Coturnix japonica: one gene and its partner. The protein of the gene in region 2 purifies or fractionates together with the protein of the main gene of each other region. This does not show direct contact. Links are inferred from orthologs where the notes say so. Each region holds a gene or a part of one and is shown on either strand. Other genes may lie near its edges. The genes, in order: TNNC2 and DCAF6.

Evidence for each region.
Region 1: the proteins of DCAF6 (region 2) and TNNC2 purify together in Homo sapiens (affinity purification with mass spectrometry; 3 studies listed by BioGRID and IntAct, with this or other methods). This does not show direct contact. The link is inferred for Coturnix japonica from reciprocal best matches to the Homo sapiens genes DCAF6 and TNNC2.

What each region holds. Positions count from the first base shown.
Region 1 is NC_029535.1:9,485,634-9,489,662, forward strand, and holds TNNC2 (troponin C, skeletal muscle), read right to left. Parts: upstream 2,469-4,029; 5' UTR 2,376-2,468; coding exon 2,364-2,375; intron 1,624-2,363; coding exon 1,572-1,623; intron 1,487-1,571; coding exon 1,343-1,486; intron 1,270-1,342; coding exon 1,155-1,269; intron 1,080-1,154; coding exon 943-1,079; intron 852-942; coding exon 820-851; 3' UTR 620-819; downstream 1-619. Other genes in the region: SNX21 (sorting nexin-21), read left to right, coding at 3,998-4,029. UniProt on the Homo sapiens protein: Troponin is the central regulatory protein of striated muscle contraction. Tn consists of three components: Tn-I which is the inhibitor of actomyosin ATPase, Tn-T which contains the binding site for tropomyosin and Tn-C.
Region 2 is NC_029516.1:82,031,223-82,035,032, forward strand, and holds part of DCAF6 (DDB1- and CUL4-associated factor 6), read right to left. Parts: intron 2,719-3,810; coding exon 2,504-2,718; intron 913-2,503; coding exon 819-912; intron 1-818. UniProt on the Homo sapiens protein: Ligand-dependent coactivator of nuclear receptors. Enhance transcriptional activity of the nuclear receptors NR3C1 and AR. May function as a substrate receptor for CUL4-DDB1 E3 ubiquitin-protein ligase complex.

The DNA of each region.
Region 1 (4,029 bases), on a different chromosome or scaffold from region 2:
GTGCCTGTCCTGTTGCTCCCGCAGGCACTGGGTGTTCCCTGTGAGCCCCGGCCCAGGGCACGTCCCAATCTTGGCACGCTTGTGGCTGTGCTCCTCCCCAGCTCCAGAGGCTGCACGGAGACACGGGTCCCCAGGGAGAGCTGGCACCAACCAGGCTGGCTTTTCAGCATTGCCTTAATCCCTGTGCAGAGGTGTGGCTGCTGTCTTGAGGTTTGGAGGGTTGGGAAGCAGTCCCCAACTTTTCGTGTCAGGATACCCCATCCTTTCAATCAGAAACCTAAGCAGTGCTTGGCCCCCTTCTCTCCCCCTTCCAAAATCCAGTGTGGTCACACATCCTGTGATGTGAGCAGGAGCAGCCTCCCAGTGCTGCCTTCTGGGACCCTGGGAGGAACAGGGCTGTGCTCCCTGCTGCTGCTGTCGTGGGAAGCGAGTGCTCCTGATGGAAACTCTGAGCTCAGCGCTGCCTGGCGCCCACCCAGCAGCCCATGGGAACCACTGCTCACACACTCACAGGTCAGCCCGGCTGGTACAGGGTATGGCACGGCATTGCACACACCCCCGTGTCCCCCTCCATGGGGTACAGTGCCACAGACCCCCCAGGCACTCCCATACTGGCAGCTCAGCCTTTCCCCCTTTTAATGAGGTTCATCCATAAACCACATCTGTCAGAGTCAAGGAAAAGCTCAGCCGCCAGCCGAGTGGCACGAGCTGCTGCAGGGCTCCAGCGGGTGGCAGCGAGGCCAGGCTCTGCGGCGGGGCCAGTCCTGGGCGGAGGAGCAGGGCTGGCTGCTGCAGGCGGCCCAAGGAATGTCTGATCCCTTACTGCACTCCCTCCATCATCTTCAGGAACTCTGCAAGAGAGCGGCGTTATCAGACCCAGCTGTGCCACACACGCAGCCCAAAGGGGCTGAGCAAGCTGCAGGGTGAGGTCCTGCCGCTCACCATCGAAGTCAATGCGACCATCATTGTTCTTGTCTGAATCCTTCATGAGATCTTCTATTTCCTCCTCGGTGACGTGCTCCCCGGTGGCCCTGAGAATCTCACCCAGCTCTTCGATGTCGATGAATCCATCAGCGTTCCTGTGGGAGAGGAAGGGCAGGATACGGCCCCGCTCACCACCACGGACGGGTGTCACCAGGCGCTGCCCCACTCACTTGTCAAAGATGCGGAAGCAGTTGGCCAGCTCCTCCTCTGACTTGCCCTTGGCGTCCTCTTTCATCTGGCGCACCATCATCACCAGGAACTCCTCGAAGTCGATGGTGCCGCTGCCTGTGGGGAGGGACCGTGATGTGGGTCAGGCTGAGCACTCCAGACACCCACCACCCCCATGGAGCCCACTCACCATCCTCGTCCACCTCCTCGATGATGGCGTCCAGCTCCTCCTTGGTGGGGTTTTGGCCCAGCATCCTCATCACTGTGCCCAACTCCTTGGTGCTGATGTCCCCACCACCGTCCGCATCAAACATATCGAAGGCAGCTTTGAACTCTGCAGGGAAGAGTGGTCAGTGCTGGGACACGGGCATTGGGACGGGCTCTGTGTTGGGATGGGGCCCTGTCCCCTCCCTGCTCACCAGCAATCATCTCTTCGCTGAGGAAGGCGCGGGCCTCCGCCTGCTGGTCTGTCTGTAAGGCACAGGGAGAAGGGGTCAGCTCCCACCCCATGCTGTGTGTCAGCACAGCCCCTGCCCAGGGTCAGCAGCGTATGGGGCTCTGCAGCAGCGTCTGGCACAGTGCAAAGCCTCAGCCTCCCTGGTGCAGCTGCAAAGCCTTCGTCCAGCTCAGCCCTGCAGCACGTGGCTGTTCCCTGAGTGACCCAAGGCCCCGGGCAGCCATGCAGCTCAACTGCCCTGAGCCCCATGCAGCCGCCCCCCGGTGGTCCATGACGCAGAGGCCGCCATGCTGCCTTGGCATCCCAAGCACCCGACACTATTTTTGGACTCTCCTCGACTCCCCTTATAGGGAGCAGAGCTCAGCGGGCACCTGTTTGCCCTGGATCGAGTTTCTCCTGGAGGCGCGGGCTGTCTGGGGCCGCAGAGGTGTCGCATGACCCAGCGCTCGGCTTTCAGCGCCTTCACACAGCCCAGCTCCAGCTCTGATCGCCCCATGCACCCATTAATTACCCCCAGCCAGCCGCACACTCCCTCTTTGGGGCACATCTTATAGGGGTACACATCCCATAGGGGGACATACGCCATGGGGAACGTATCCCACTGCCCCTACATCCATGCTACCTCCTGCCATAGCCAGCCTGAAGGGATCATCCCTCTGCCATCGCCCCATAGAGGTGCCTGGCAGCCCCACACCGCGGTGCCCAACACCTCCGGCCCAACCACAGCTCAACCCAGCACCACTGGAGCTCTTACCATTGACGCCATCTTTGCTGCTCTCTTCCTGCAGGGAGTCAGCACCTCCTGCACCAGCAGCCCCCGCACACTCCCTGGCTCCCCAATTTGTAGTGTCCCCGTGCCCCCAGCCGTTGGCCCCCAGCCCCAGCAGCCTATCAGCTCCCTGGTGGAAATCCGGCCCCGCTCATTGGCAACGGGCTCATTTTACCTAATTTAGCCAAAGCGTTATTGGCCAAGAGCAGGGGATTAAACGTGGGTCTGAAGCCGGGATAGAAATTCAAGCCCTGCAGGGAGGGACGCAGCATCTTGGCAGGAGTGCGGCTCCTTCATCTACACCTCCTTGTTCCAGGACAGCTCAGCATGGAGGGGGTTAAAAATAGCCCCAAAGAGCAGCATCCCCAACACCAGGACTGGGCTTCCCCCATGCCAGGCATTAGGGACAGGGCTGGGTAGTGCTGCCTGAACCTCTGCTAACCCAGGTGCCGCGGCTTGGGACAAGCAGGCAGCACTGGGGCCACGTCCCATCCCTTACCCCACAGCACCCCAGTTACTCTGGCTGTGCCCAAACCATCAGTCCCTCCTTTCACTCCTTTCTGTCCTAGAGAGGTCAAGGCGAAGCTGCAGCCCTCAGACCATCACTGTGAGCTGCAGGTGGGTGAGGAGCGTGGCCCTGCAGTGGGTCCTGGCACTGCTGTGGGTTCCCACTCTGCTGGCAGCCACTACCAGAAATGGCACGGCTGCTCCGTGACTTGGGGAGTGGGAACGATGCCCGTGGCCTCCTCAAAGGCTGCGGCTCTGCCAGGTCCGTGGCCCTGGGTCTGGCTGGCCAAGTGGCCCACAGCCTGCAGCTCTCCAAAAGGGTTTTGTGGCTGCAGAAGGGCTGTCGGTCCCTCGGGACCCTCTGCTGGGGCAGCTCTGCTGGCACCCCATGGATGGGGCAGCACAGCACAGCAAGGAGCAAGGACAGAGTGATGGCAGCAGCTGGACCATTCCTCGATATTAATAGACATTCCCAAGAAAGCAGCGAGGACAGAGCGGGGATGGTGCTAAATAAGGGCGGTGAGTGCCAGGCAGCGGCCATGGCTGCAGCCCAGGAGCAGGAGCGTGTGGCGAGGCTGGGGATGGCAGGGTGCCGGCTGAGGGTGCCGGGTGCCGGGATGTGGCGGTGTTGGGGCGCTGCGCTGTTGGGGTACCGAGGTGTCAGGGTGCCGGGGCACCGGAGGTTGGGGACCATCATGGAGCGGTGCCCGGGGATCGGTCACGGGCTGTGCGTGCACAGACGGAGCCGGACCGCGCCGAGCCGCGCTGCGCCGTGCCGGGACGTGACAGCCCCGCCGCGATCCGGGTTCCCAGCGGAGGCGGAGCCGCGCAGGGAGGATCCCGGGACGAGCAGCGGCGGAGCGGCCATCGCTCGGCACCGCCCGGAGCGGCCCGGCACAGCGCGGTACGGTACGGAGAGCAGCGCCCACAGCGGCAGCGGGGCTGAGCGGGGGGAGCGGGGTTGAGGGTGGGCGCGGGTCGGGGGGGCCGGAGGGAGCCGGCCGGGAGCGGGGCCGTCCCGATGCGGGGTCTCGCGCTGCCCCCGCTCCTCCCCCTCCCCGTGCCCATCCCGGTGTTGGGGCGGCCGGGCTGACCCGTCGCTGCAGCCGGGGATGGCCGCCCGCATCCTGCACCGCCTGCGGCA
Region 2 (3,810 bases):
CTCCCCCCGTTACTTCTTCTCTTAAAAAAATATAATAAAGCATGGCAAACTACATAACTGGTAATTCCCTCAACCAATGCCACTTCTCAGCACAGCACAAACTGCACAGCTGAGCGTGGCATTACAAAAAAATTAACATAATTCCTTCCTCTCAAAGCTCTATCCAAAGATTCCATTTGTCAATGGCTGAAATGGAGTGCTTGAATCTAATTCAAATCAACTATTCCCTTGAGCACATCAGGCACTATTCTATCAAACAACACACAGTAAAGGTACAGAAGGTTTGTCACGACAAAAGAAAAATCTAACCGGTATCTATACTGGAGAAGTCCTTTTTTCAAGTTTTACTTTCTCCCTGGAAGATTTACTTGATACGACAGGGAAATGACAACGAGAAGAATGCTGCAGAACATTAACTGATGAAAAAAAAACCCAAGCTCAGATAGAAAGTAACTTTGAGTAAAAAGCAAAGGAGTAACTAATTTTGAAGGGAAACACTTCATATGAAGAGATATACAAAGAAGTCTGTGGGATTATGGAAGCACAATGTGAGCAGAATGCTGCCCTCGATTTACATCAGCCTGACTGAAGAAACTTTTTATGTGTGTGTTTGCAATTGAGACAGTTCTTAAAATCAGTACAGAACAGCAGTTCCCTGTTAGGTTAAAAATAAACACACTTAAGACCTGACAGTCACTTAAAACACACACACAGTTATTTGGAGCATTGCTGTACTAACAAAAACTGATAAAAACAAAAGAAACAAACATTCCTTCCCCCTCTAGACAATCCCTACCCCACAAGAGCAAACAGGTTACCATCTCTCTCCCGTTCACTCTCAGGCCTTGCTCTTGGGCCAGTATCTGACCAATCTCCTCTTAGCCGCAAACGTTTAACAGGAGGTTGCCGTAACTAGGAAAAAAAAAGAAAGAAGAAAGCTATCATAAAGTCATTTATACTGAGCAATACAAAGTTTCAAGTTTAAAAAGAAATGCTACATTCCCATTTTCTTAGGGTACAAAAACTTGTCACGCACAAAAAAACTGCACCCGCCATATGTTCAGATCAACTATGAATAAGCACAACACTGTATCAAAAGGCAGCAATAATTTTAGCTCAACAGAATTTTTTTTAATTGAAATATTTTTTCGTGTGACAAGTAGTACAAGAAGAATAGTATCCAGTTAGTGCTACTTCTGCTAACCTGAAAAAAAACAGCCAGAGTTCTGTACATTCAAAAAGGCATTTCATACTTGGAAATACAGCGTGTTGGTTGGCTGTTCATGGTTTACAAAAACAAAACCACGCAACAACATGTAACAACAATAGCAACCAGTTGTGCTGTCAATTTGAGATTTAAACGCAAAACTCCTGAAAGTAAATTGAAGTGTTAACATTCAGGAGCCAGCAGATTTGGGAAGAAAACTTCACATCCTTTCTACTCTGTGGAATTTAAAGCAAGACTGAAATAAAAATACCATTTAAGTGAAATTATCTGACAAAATGAATTTGTAGAATGTATTCCATGCATACAGAAGAACACTTAGGATCTGCTATTAATAAGTAGTCACAATCTTCCCTCTGCATAAAAGCAGGCAATAAATTCTCCACTGATTTACTTTACATTAGGTTGCAATTACACAGGAAAAAGTAAGATGAGAAACCACTTATTTATGGCACTGTTTTTCTGAGTTCTTCTTTGCTTTCCTCTGTCTCCATCAGGTAACAATTTAACTCAGCTGGACATTCTTCCTCAATCCTACAAATCACTATCCAAAACAATATTTGCAAAAAAAGAATCCATCACCCAGAGGGAATGGGCTTAGATAAAACATCCAATAGCATGGGCATGGCATGAGGGCAGACATGTGGCAAATGGTACATTCCACTTTCAACTATTAGTTTCTCTCTGCTTTAGTCCTCAACTCTACATCCTATCATAAAAACACTTTATCTGGTTTCATAAAAATCTGTTCAAACAATTGCATTTCATGATTTCACTGATATTTCAAAAGGCATTTTAGCTACGTTTTTCAAATCTCAGAATATATTTTGAATTTTATGTAATTCTATAAAGTTATGCTGTTTAATATGATTGAATGTTAAGGGTACAACAATAACCAAGACCAAGATCCTTGTCCATGGGTATTAAGTTAAAGAGCTCTGGGTCACAGACCCTATAACATAACTCTTCTTCCAGTAACTGCCAGAGTTTAAACTTCTCTATGACCTAGGAACTGCAAAGTTTCCCTCAAAATGTCTCAAATTCCCTACATTACTGGAATCCACAGGTAATCATGGTGAAAATGATGAATTATAAAATATACAAGACTAAAAAAACCTAAAAACCCAACATACCGTAGATAGTCTAAAACTATTTTAAGAACAGTGTTTGAGAATCACAAGATGGCTCAAGATTCAATTCAAGGGAAATACAAACTGGTAGGATTGCCCTGGGGGTGGGGAAGAGAAAACAAGAAAACAGGTCATCTTAATCACTTGCCTCTTCTCGTCTTTCCTCAGAGGAAGGAACTTTAAGTTCTCGTGCTGTATCATCCTTGGGATCAAACAAGTATATGTAATCTGATGAGTAGCTAACAAGGATCTCTTGACCATCTTCACTATAACATAGAGACGTTACACGGCAAGATTTGTTATTGAGATGAGGAGGAACAAAACGTGCCACCATTCCAATAGTGCCCCTACCAGCATAATTCCCTGTGTGAGAACGAGAAAGAATACATTCACTATTGCAAATTTTCTACAAGCAGTTTCAATATACTCCTTTGTTAACATCCAAAGATGATCAGAGATTAGCTAAGCAACCTACAGCTTTTGTACTGCATTGGTTCTGAATAGTGACAAATCAGATCTTACAGGGTGCAAACAAAAATAAAAAAATACTTATCAGAACATTACAGAGAAAGGTGAAAACATACAGACAACCATACTTATATATCAAATACCAATCACATGATGGGATATGGATACCATCTGTAAAGTTTAGTACAGATGAACATTTAGGAACAGAAGAACTTGTACGCAATAATAATGCAGTTACGCATCACCACACAAATTTGCAAGGAAGTCATTCTATAGAACTTTGAAAATTTAAGGACATCTTCTCTTTACATTCTAAATAAACTATAAAAACACCAGTTTTTCCTTATTTGACACATGATACTGTCACTTTGAGACTGAAGAACTGCTCAATACATTGGGTTTACATGACAACCAACCTCCATTCTACATGCTAAAACAGCCTTCAATTCCAGTATTACAAACTTGTAAGCATACAAAAATTACCTATAATACGACTTAACAGAGAAAAACAGACTCTTCCAAAAACCTATAATCTGCCACATAGCTTTCCTGCAAGGCACATCTGCTTTGGGTAAGCACATAGAAAAGCATGTCCTTGACAAGTTCAGAGTTTGCCATCTCACTGCATAAGGACTAGAGCTGAAAGTTGAGAATGAAAACCACCATTTTACTCACTAGCAGCTATCACAGAATACTTCATTCTTTGAAACAAATAACAAAAAATACAGTAGCAAAACACTATATCAATAAGTCCAGAAATACTATAGTCTTCAAAAGTTCGTCTTCTCCCTGCTTTTCCCTATAGACTTGCATACCTGAATTCATTTTCCTGTTGTACTGTAATAGGACGTGTACAAAAGAAAAAGCTGTGTTGTTTTTGTATTGTTTTGGTTGGGTATTGTTTTGTTTTTCAAGAAAACTTCAGGGAAAAACCAGAATCTTTTACTTTGTACCTTCCCAGAATCTGTTTCTCAGGTAGTTCTCAAT